Linked DNA regions of Coturnix japonica. The protein of the gene in region 2 interacts with the protein of the main gene of each other region in a pairwise test. Links are inferred from orthologs where the notes say so. Each region holds a gene or a part of one and is shown on either strand. Other genes may lie near its edges.

The links.
Region 1: the proteins of BAG4 (region 2) and ALG13 interact in binary tests that used the Homo sapiens proteins (3 or more experiments, as listed by UniProt). The link is inferred for Coturnix japonica from reciprocal best matches to the Homo sapiens genes BAG4 and ALG13.

The regions. Positions count from the first base shown.
Region 1 is NC_029519.1:12,426,430-12,429,330, forward strand, and holds part of ALG13 (putative bifunctional UDP-N-acetylglucosamine transferase and deubiquitinase ALG13), read right to left. Parts: intron 1,102-2,901; coding exon 1,061-1,101; intron 307-1,060; coding exon 126-306; intron 1-125. UniProt on the Homo sapiens protein: Catalytic subunit of the UDP-N-acetylglucosamine transferase complex that operates in the biosynthetic pathway of dolichol-linked oligosaccharides, the glycan precursors employed in protein asparagine (N)-glycosylation.
Region 2 is NC_029537.1:3,645,324-3,649,645, reverse strand, and holds the start of BAG4 (BAG family molecular chaperone regulator 4), read right to left. Parts: upstream 2,804-4,322; coding exon 2,582-2,803; intron 2,505-2,581; coding exon 2,424-2,504; intron 2,213-2,423; coding exon 1,979-2,212; intron 1,662-1,978; coding exon 1,437-1,661; intron 1,125-1,436; coding exon 618-1,124; 3' UTR 1-617. Other genes in the region: U6 snRNA-associated Sm-like protein LSm1, read left to right, coding at 2,802-2,847, 2,987-3,055, 3,611-3,726, 3,797-3,967. UniProt on the Homo sapiens protein: Inhibits the chaperone activity of HSP70/HSC70 by promoting substrate release. Prevents constitutive TNFRSF1A signaling. Negative regulator of PRKN translocation to damaged mitochondria.

The DNA.
Region 1 (2,901 bases), on a different chromosome or scaffold from region 2:
CAACTTCATGCTTCCTATATGCTATAAAGATGCAAGAAAGCAATTCCTGTGGAGCAGCTGTAGTCTGAAAGCTATTACCTCACTTTTCACAATTTCTGTATGTGGTCTTATAGTCAAATACTAACCATTTGCAGGCACATCAAGGGGAACATGTTGGACCTCAGCTCGCCCAGCATCGTAGAGATGAGGTACCGACTGATCCATGACATGAGCTGGCTCAGGATATGCTGAATAAGCCTCCACAGATGATGCTGGTGGCACTGGCTGTACATAGACCATGGAATGCCAGTAACTCTGGTGATAGTACTTTGAGGAGAAAGACAACAAGAAAACAAGGTCAGGCATAGAACCACATAGTCTCCATCCCTCCTCCAAATCACCAGTAGTTTCATATCAAAGACAATGATGTTATATATGAAGGAGGAAAAAAAATAAAGCACACAGTGTCAGAAAATTTGCTGTAATAGCTCCAACTACCAACTCAGTTCTATCCTGTTTTATTAAGAGGGAGTTTGCCATATTCAAGGAGATTTTTCCATTTGTTCAGCTGAAGAATCTGGCACACTGCTGCTACTCCTCAGAGTTCCAGCACTGACACTGCCCGTGACTGCTGGTGCACAGACAACTGTTGCAGACAGTGCTCTTTAGCAGAGCAATGGTTCTCAAGGCAAAGGAATGGTGCTAACTGGTCTGAGCCGTGCATATCCTAGAGGACTCAAACCATCCATCTTCAAACAGCCTTTGATATCTCATCTAAGCAGACAAATTTTCCCAGTAGTTCCATTTTCCCCTTTACCCTCGCTGAGAGAATATTTATTCTTCATCCTTCACAAAAATCGGAGTAAACAACCAGACACACTAATGTGCTTTGCAATTTGAGTTAGAACGTTGTTCCTGACCTATACTTTAATCGCTTCCAAGCAAGCCTATATGTAATAATTGTCATCTACACAGTATGCACATTTAGCACACCTGGAAGTCTTAAATACATCAGTACACCTGTCAAGAAAAGCAGCAGTTTTTACAGGCAATTTACTGTACTCGCTTTAAAAGCACTTACTTGCAATCCCAGATTAAAATAATACTGCAAGACCTTCGTATCTGAAATTAAAGGATATGGCATTAAAGAGCAGATGAGCAAAAAGAGTTCTACACACATCCAGAACATTCTAAGTCATTTCAATAAGTAACTATCTTAGCATTATTTTTTCTTTAATGTTTTGAGGGTAAAGAATATATCTTGAGTTTAACTGGTTGTTATCAATATTGCATCTTTAAGTTAATCAAGTTAGATGTATGTACAATATACTGGACAACTTGCTCCCAGCAATCCAAGCAGCTTAAAGGAACTTTAAAAAGCATTGCCCAGCAGAACATGGCTTTCACAGTCTAAACAGTCCCAGAAGAGCGAAGCTGTTTAAAACCTTCCAGGTTTGCCACTGACAGCAGAGGAGAATCAAGCATGTTTTAAATACAGGATGCAGTACCAGAACCGTGCATAAGAAACTCCTTTCTCAGTCTTAAATAATGCCTTGTCTTAAAGGCTCAGGAAGGACAGACAGCAACAGGTTAGGTCTGATTTAGTACTGAGAGGACCTGAAAAATCAAAGCAGCAAAGCAGGGGAACAACTTGAGATAAACAAGGCAGTAAGGATTTCAACTCTGGGTTATACAGAAACTCTGGAAGCGTTGCTCTCTTCTTACCACCTCAGTTCTTCCCTCAACTACAGCCTCCAACTGACTTTCCTGCTTGCTACCCAGCTACTTTGCACACACACTTTCATAGCCCTGCTCTTCTATAGTACTGAGTATTGTTGTCTGCTGTAAGCAGGAATAAAATGGGAAATGCAAATCCCTATTTTGAAATGAATGAAGGACTGGTTCCTCTTCTGCCAATTCACACTCTTTTGCTGTTCAGCACATTGGAGAAGGCCACAATCCACTTAAACGCAAGAGAGGATCTGTGTGTGCTCTCCAAGAACAGCTAACAGCTCACTCCCAGAAGGGCTGCTGATTTGGCTCGGACATTAACCAGTTAAATATTAGAAATAACTGGAAGGCTCACCTAATTGTCAGCTTCTTAGTGTGTAGCCAAAACCGCATCTACCTTGGAAAGATGATTTTGTTAATCTGATTTTTCAATTGATTATGCAAATATATGCAAAACAAGCCTAAGAACTGAATGAAACAGCTGCTTCATAGCAGCAATAGAAGTGCAAAGGAGGAGCTGGGAAACTGAAGTGACCAACTGATAGAGGAAATACTGACGTCTGGGGAGTTCTGGAACAGGAGCCAGTACAGTAGGGGACCAGTTTCTGTTTATATTCCTCTTTCAGATGTCTAGAAATCAAGTCAGTCTTCAGTATAACAAAATGACAGTGTGAAATAACAGTTAAAGCCAGAAGAAGTTAACTGCCTTGGCATGAAAATATGAAGATCACGTTAACTACTGATACAATTTAATCTCATGGTACAGGAGGACAAAGTTCGCTGCTCAGTTGAATAGCTCAGATCAATCTTGAATGCTGCCACAGGAAAGGAGCACTCTCCAGGACACTCTAACAGCAAGCAGCCTTCTCAGCTGCTTCAAACAAGGTGAGAGTAAGATACCTAAGGTTGCTGTGTTAACAGAAGCCATTTCCCAAGCCCTAAACATCATTAAAAAGATTCAATCAACCCCGAGAACTGGAAAAAGAAACAACAAAAAGAAACTGGAGTCTATCCCCAGAAGGCCATGGCCAGCATTATGATGAGCTGAAGAGCTGCAGGCAAGGGTCTGAAGAGGTTATTAATCCACATCCACTCCAGATTCTTGTCAGTACGCTTAACACCCAATTCTCCCAAGGGCTGAAAGCCTCAGTAAAGGGCATTTAACTGAAGCGGAAGACAATTAACTCTGGT
Region 2 (4,322 bases):
CACTGTCCAGGGCTGCACGGCTCTGCCTGCAACTGGCTTTTCCAGGTGAAAAACTCAGAGTTCCAGGCTATGTTCCCACATCCACACGGCATCACAGAACAGCTTCACATCAGCAGAGCTACAGGGAGCGCATTGGAAACAAAAAGAGAACCCCGGGATGACACAAACCAGCTTTTGTGGGTAAGGGATCTGAAGCTGAAAGCACACGCACTGATGGACCTTCATTTATGGTGATGCATGTGACAAGTGCTGCAGCTGTGGCTCCACGAGGTACCATGGATTTGGGTGGATTTGGACCCGGTTTGGGGAACTTTGTGCAGTGATTTTCTTCTTGCTGGATGAAGGACACAGACAACCCAGTGCTAAACACCTTCAGGTGGTGCTGCTTCTTCACATCCCAGAGCAAACAACTCAATTTGCTGCTTTCATCTTCTCTTCATTGGTCCAATGCTGAGCTGTTGGTCGGGGCTGGGCTTTCCTGTGGGTTTAGGGTTGTTTCTTCTTTTCAATCAAGTCTTATTGCTTTCTCATTATCAGTAGTGCTTAGCAGAAAGAGCTGAGATTTGGATTAACTCTTTGGAACCTCCACAACAGGCTGCATTGTGGCTGATTTGCTTTCACAATCCTTTCCTTTCCAGTTTTTCCAGTATGGCCTGAATTCTATGGACAGCTTCTTTCCTGGCCTGTCGGACACCATCCTGCCCACCAGTCTCAATGGAATCCAGTTCTAACAGCAGCTTGGTCAGCATCTCCTCCAGAAGCCTGTAGGATTTATCTGTCTTTTTCCCTACAAATTCATCCACCTCTTGTTCTAACTCTTCAGCCTGCTCTGTGACCTGTAGGATCCTCTGTATCTCTGGCTGGATGGCTGCAGAATTCATTGCAGTGTGATTGCCAGCTTTGCAACCTGCCTCCTGGTTCCCAGCCAGCTGCCTCCGAGTTGCACTGTTGTACATCTGGGGCTGTGCACTGTATTGTACCTTGGGGTTGGAGGGAGATGACTTGGAGTTATGCAGCAGGGAGGGTGGTTTGTGGTCATTCATTGTCCCAGGGTGCTGGTGATTGCTGTCAGAATAGTAGCAGTGTTGGTTTGCACTCGGATCAGGTTTGTCATAAGCAGATTCCTACAATCAGAAGGGGAAAAAAAAGAGTCTACATTACAGAGGCATTAAATGAGATCTGCTCCACTTCAAGACCCGCCTCTCAGGGTCTGCTATCTCCAGTGCTTTCTTCAATGGCAGTTTGGATATATAAGCAGGTGATTTTGCTGGCAGTACTTAGAACCGCTGCTTTGTTTTTGTCTCCTGGAAGCAAACTGTGCTTGGAGAAAGGAGCACTGAGCAGCTGCATGTGTGTATTGCGGGGGAAGGCAGCATGAGCTGAGCTCTGGCTACAGCCAGAATCTTTGTGTCAGAGCCATTAAAGCATCACTGTACCTTCGAGTCCCACACAGGAGGATGAGCTGCAGTCCTGCTGCCAGTCCAGGGTGGTTGTGATTCAGAGAGGAATGGATTCCCATGTGCTGGAGCTGCAGGCCATGCATACCGTGCCTGCACCCCATAGTGAGGGGGAGCCCACGCCTCCTCCTGAGCCCTGGGCTGTGGGTTGGCCCCGGGGCTGTGGTCTCCATATGGATACTGAGGAACGGGCATCCCTGGGGTCTGTGGGGAGAGGGGGACAGATGTAAGTCCTAAGTCAGCTCCCAATGCCTGTGGCAGAAGGAAGCTCTGGGATGAGCCCCAGCACTGGGATGAGCCCCAGCACTGGGACTGCTGCTGCTTTCTGCTCCAAAGCTCGTGACCTCAGAGCTCCCAGCAGAAAGGGGCAACTCCAAGTTCTTACAAGAGCAAGCAGGGCGAGCTGGGTGGGACATAGAAGCCATTTGGGCCCAATTAGGGTGCACTGTGGGTTCACCCTCTATGGGGTGAGCAGCACAGGAGCTCTCGCTTTGCTGTGCACACCCTAAATGGTTTCTTACCTGCGGTGGGGAATACCCAGCAGCCTTTTGCCTGCGCATTGAGCATCCCTCTGCTGGGCAGTCCTGTGTGCCACAGCCCCAGGGAGGGGCAGGAGGGGGGGGTCGATATGGGGCTGAGCTGTCGGTGCTGTAGGATGGACCTGAAGTGCTGTAGGTTCGTGTTTGTGGCAGTGAGGTGTAATGGGGAGGGTATGGGGCGCTGTAGGATCCGTTGGTGTAGGGTGAGTCCATAGCCTGGGGAGGAGAAAAGGGAAAAAGAGAAAGAAAATGAGCTGAAATGTGTGTTAGGATATTTAATGGGTTATTTCTGTACTGAGCTGTAGGAAACAAGTGGGGCTTGAAGCCCATTGTATCCTATGGCATAGAAATGAAGCACAGCTCGGTCAAAGCCTTAATGGACGGGAGGGGGATGGAAATGGACCCTCATCCCCCAAACCCAACATACCGAGTCCGCTCCGTCGGTGTAGGCCCCAAAACCGAACGCTGGGCTCCAATAACCGGGGTTGAAGCCGGGGCCTGGTGGCTCCTATAAGGAAAAACCCCATTATATGGAGCAGTGATAACGGGATAACGGGCTGTGCTCGGTTCCCCCCCCCCCTTTACCTGCCCGGTACGACCGCGGTGCTCCATGTTTTCAACCCGGCACGCTGTAGCCCACCCCACAGCGCGACACAAGGATAAAAGGCCCCCACCATGCGACCAATAGGATGCGAGGACCCCTGGATGTAACCAATGAAAGGCAGCCCCGCTCGCACTACCGGCGCCGCTTTTAAAGGGACAGTGCATCGCTAAGTACCGCCCAACGTGGGGCGGTTCCGCCACCATGAACTACATGCCGGGTACTGCAAGCCTCATCCAGGACATTGACAGTGAGTGTGACCGAGGTTCTATTCATTCAATAAGGAACCAAGGGGAAAACCGGGACCCGGACGCGGGGGACCCCGGTTTTCCCCTTGGTTCCCATTGGGACCGATGTTCCGTACCCCCGCTTGATCCCTTTCCCCATAGAGAAACACCTGGTTCTGCTGCGGGACGGCCGGACGCTGATCGGATTCCTACGCAGCATCGATCAGTTCGGTACGGATATAATGGGGGGGGATAGGGGGGGCAGCACCGGGAACGACACCGGATCAGGGCTTAATAGAACCCATATGGCTCCGATAGGAACCCAGTTTGTGGTTCCCCCATCCCTTGTCATGTTGGACCCCCACCCCATGTTATATTCCCCCCTTAGGGCAGCACTAAGTTCATCCCCCCATTGACTTGTGCCTATGGCTGAGCCCCCCAGTCTTTACCTCCCTTTACCCCTCTTCTCCCTACCCCCCTTTCCCCCCTTCCCCATTCACTTGTGCCTATAGCTGAGCCCCTCATTCTTTACCCTATAGCACCAGGGATCCCTTTATCAGCTATAGGTAGTGGCTGCTTTGGGGTCCTATAGTGGCTGGGTTTGGGGGATCATGTTGTTTAGGGGATGCTCAGCATATAGGATTATAGTGCTATAATGCAATCCAGCTGCTCCCTATGCTTTAGGCTATGGGTTGTTTCAGGTGAGGTGCTCTGTTTGGTGAAAAACTGGGTGGTTTTGGTAAAAAACTGGTTAAAAACGGGGTGTTTTTTTCTCTATCCCCACAGCCAACCTGGTGCTGCATCAGACAGTGGAGCGAATTCACGTGGGCAAGAAATATGGGGACATCCCTCGAGGGATCTTCGTTGTGAGAGGGGAGAACGTGGTGCTGCTGGGGGAGATTGTGAGTGAGCCCCGTGCCCTGCAGCCCCTCACCCTGCAGCTCTGCTTAACAACAGCTCTTTGCTTTGCAGGACCTGGAGAAGGAGAGCGACACGTTGCTGCAGCAGGTTTCCATCGAGGAGATCCTGGAGGAGCAAAGGTTGGAGCTGCAAGCCAAGCAGGAGTCGGAGAAGCTGAAGGTGCAGGCGTTGAAGGAGAGAGGCCTGGCGGTGCCCAGGGCTGACACGTTGGATGAGTACTGATGGGATGGCAATGCTGAGTGGTGCAGGCACTGAAATCATGGCTTCTGTTCCCCCTTGAGGGGAAAAAAGGAGTGATGGCAATGGGGAACCCTCGGAGGTAACTGGATGCTCCGGGGGGTGCAGCAATTTCTGTTCAGAGATGAAGGTCTCTGTTCCTTTTTGGTTTGTTTCTTTTGGCTCCTCGCCTGGAGCTGAGTGAGAGCTTCCCTTCACCTGTAAATAAACCCCTGATCTCAACAGCAACAGCTTGGCTTGTGTTTGGGCTCTGTGTGGTTATGGGCACAATGGGACTCTCCATGACCTCAGGTGCTGGGCCCAGTTCAGCTCTGTTCACTCAGGTGCAGCTGTTTGCCCC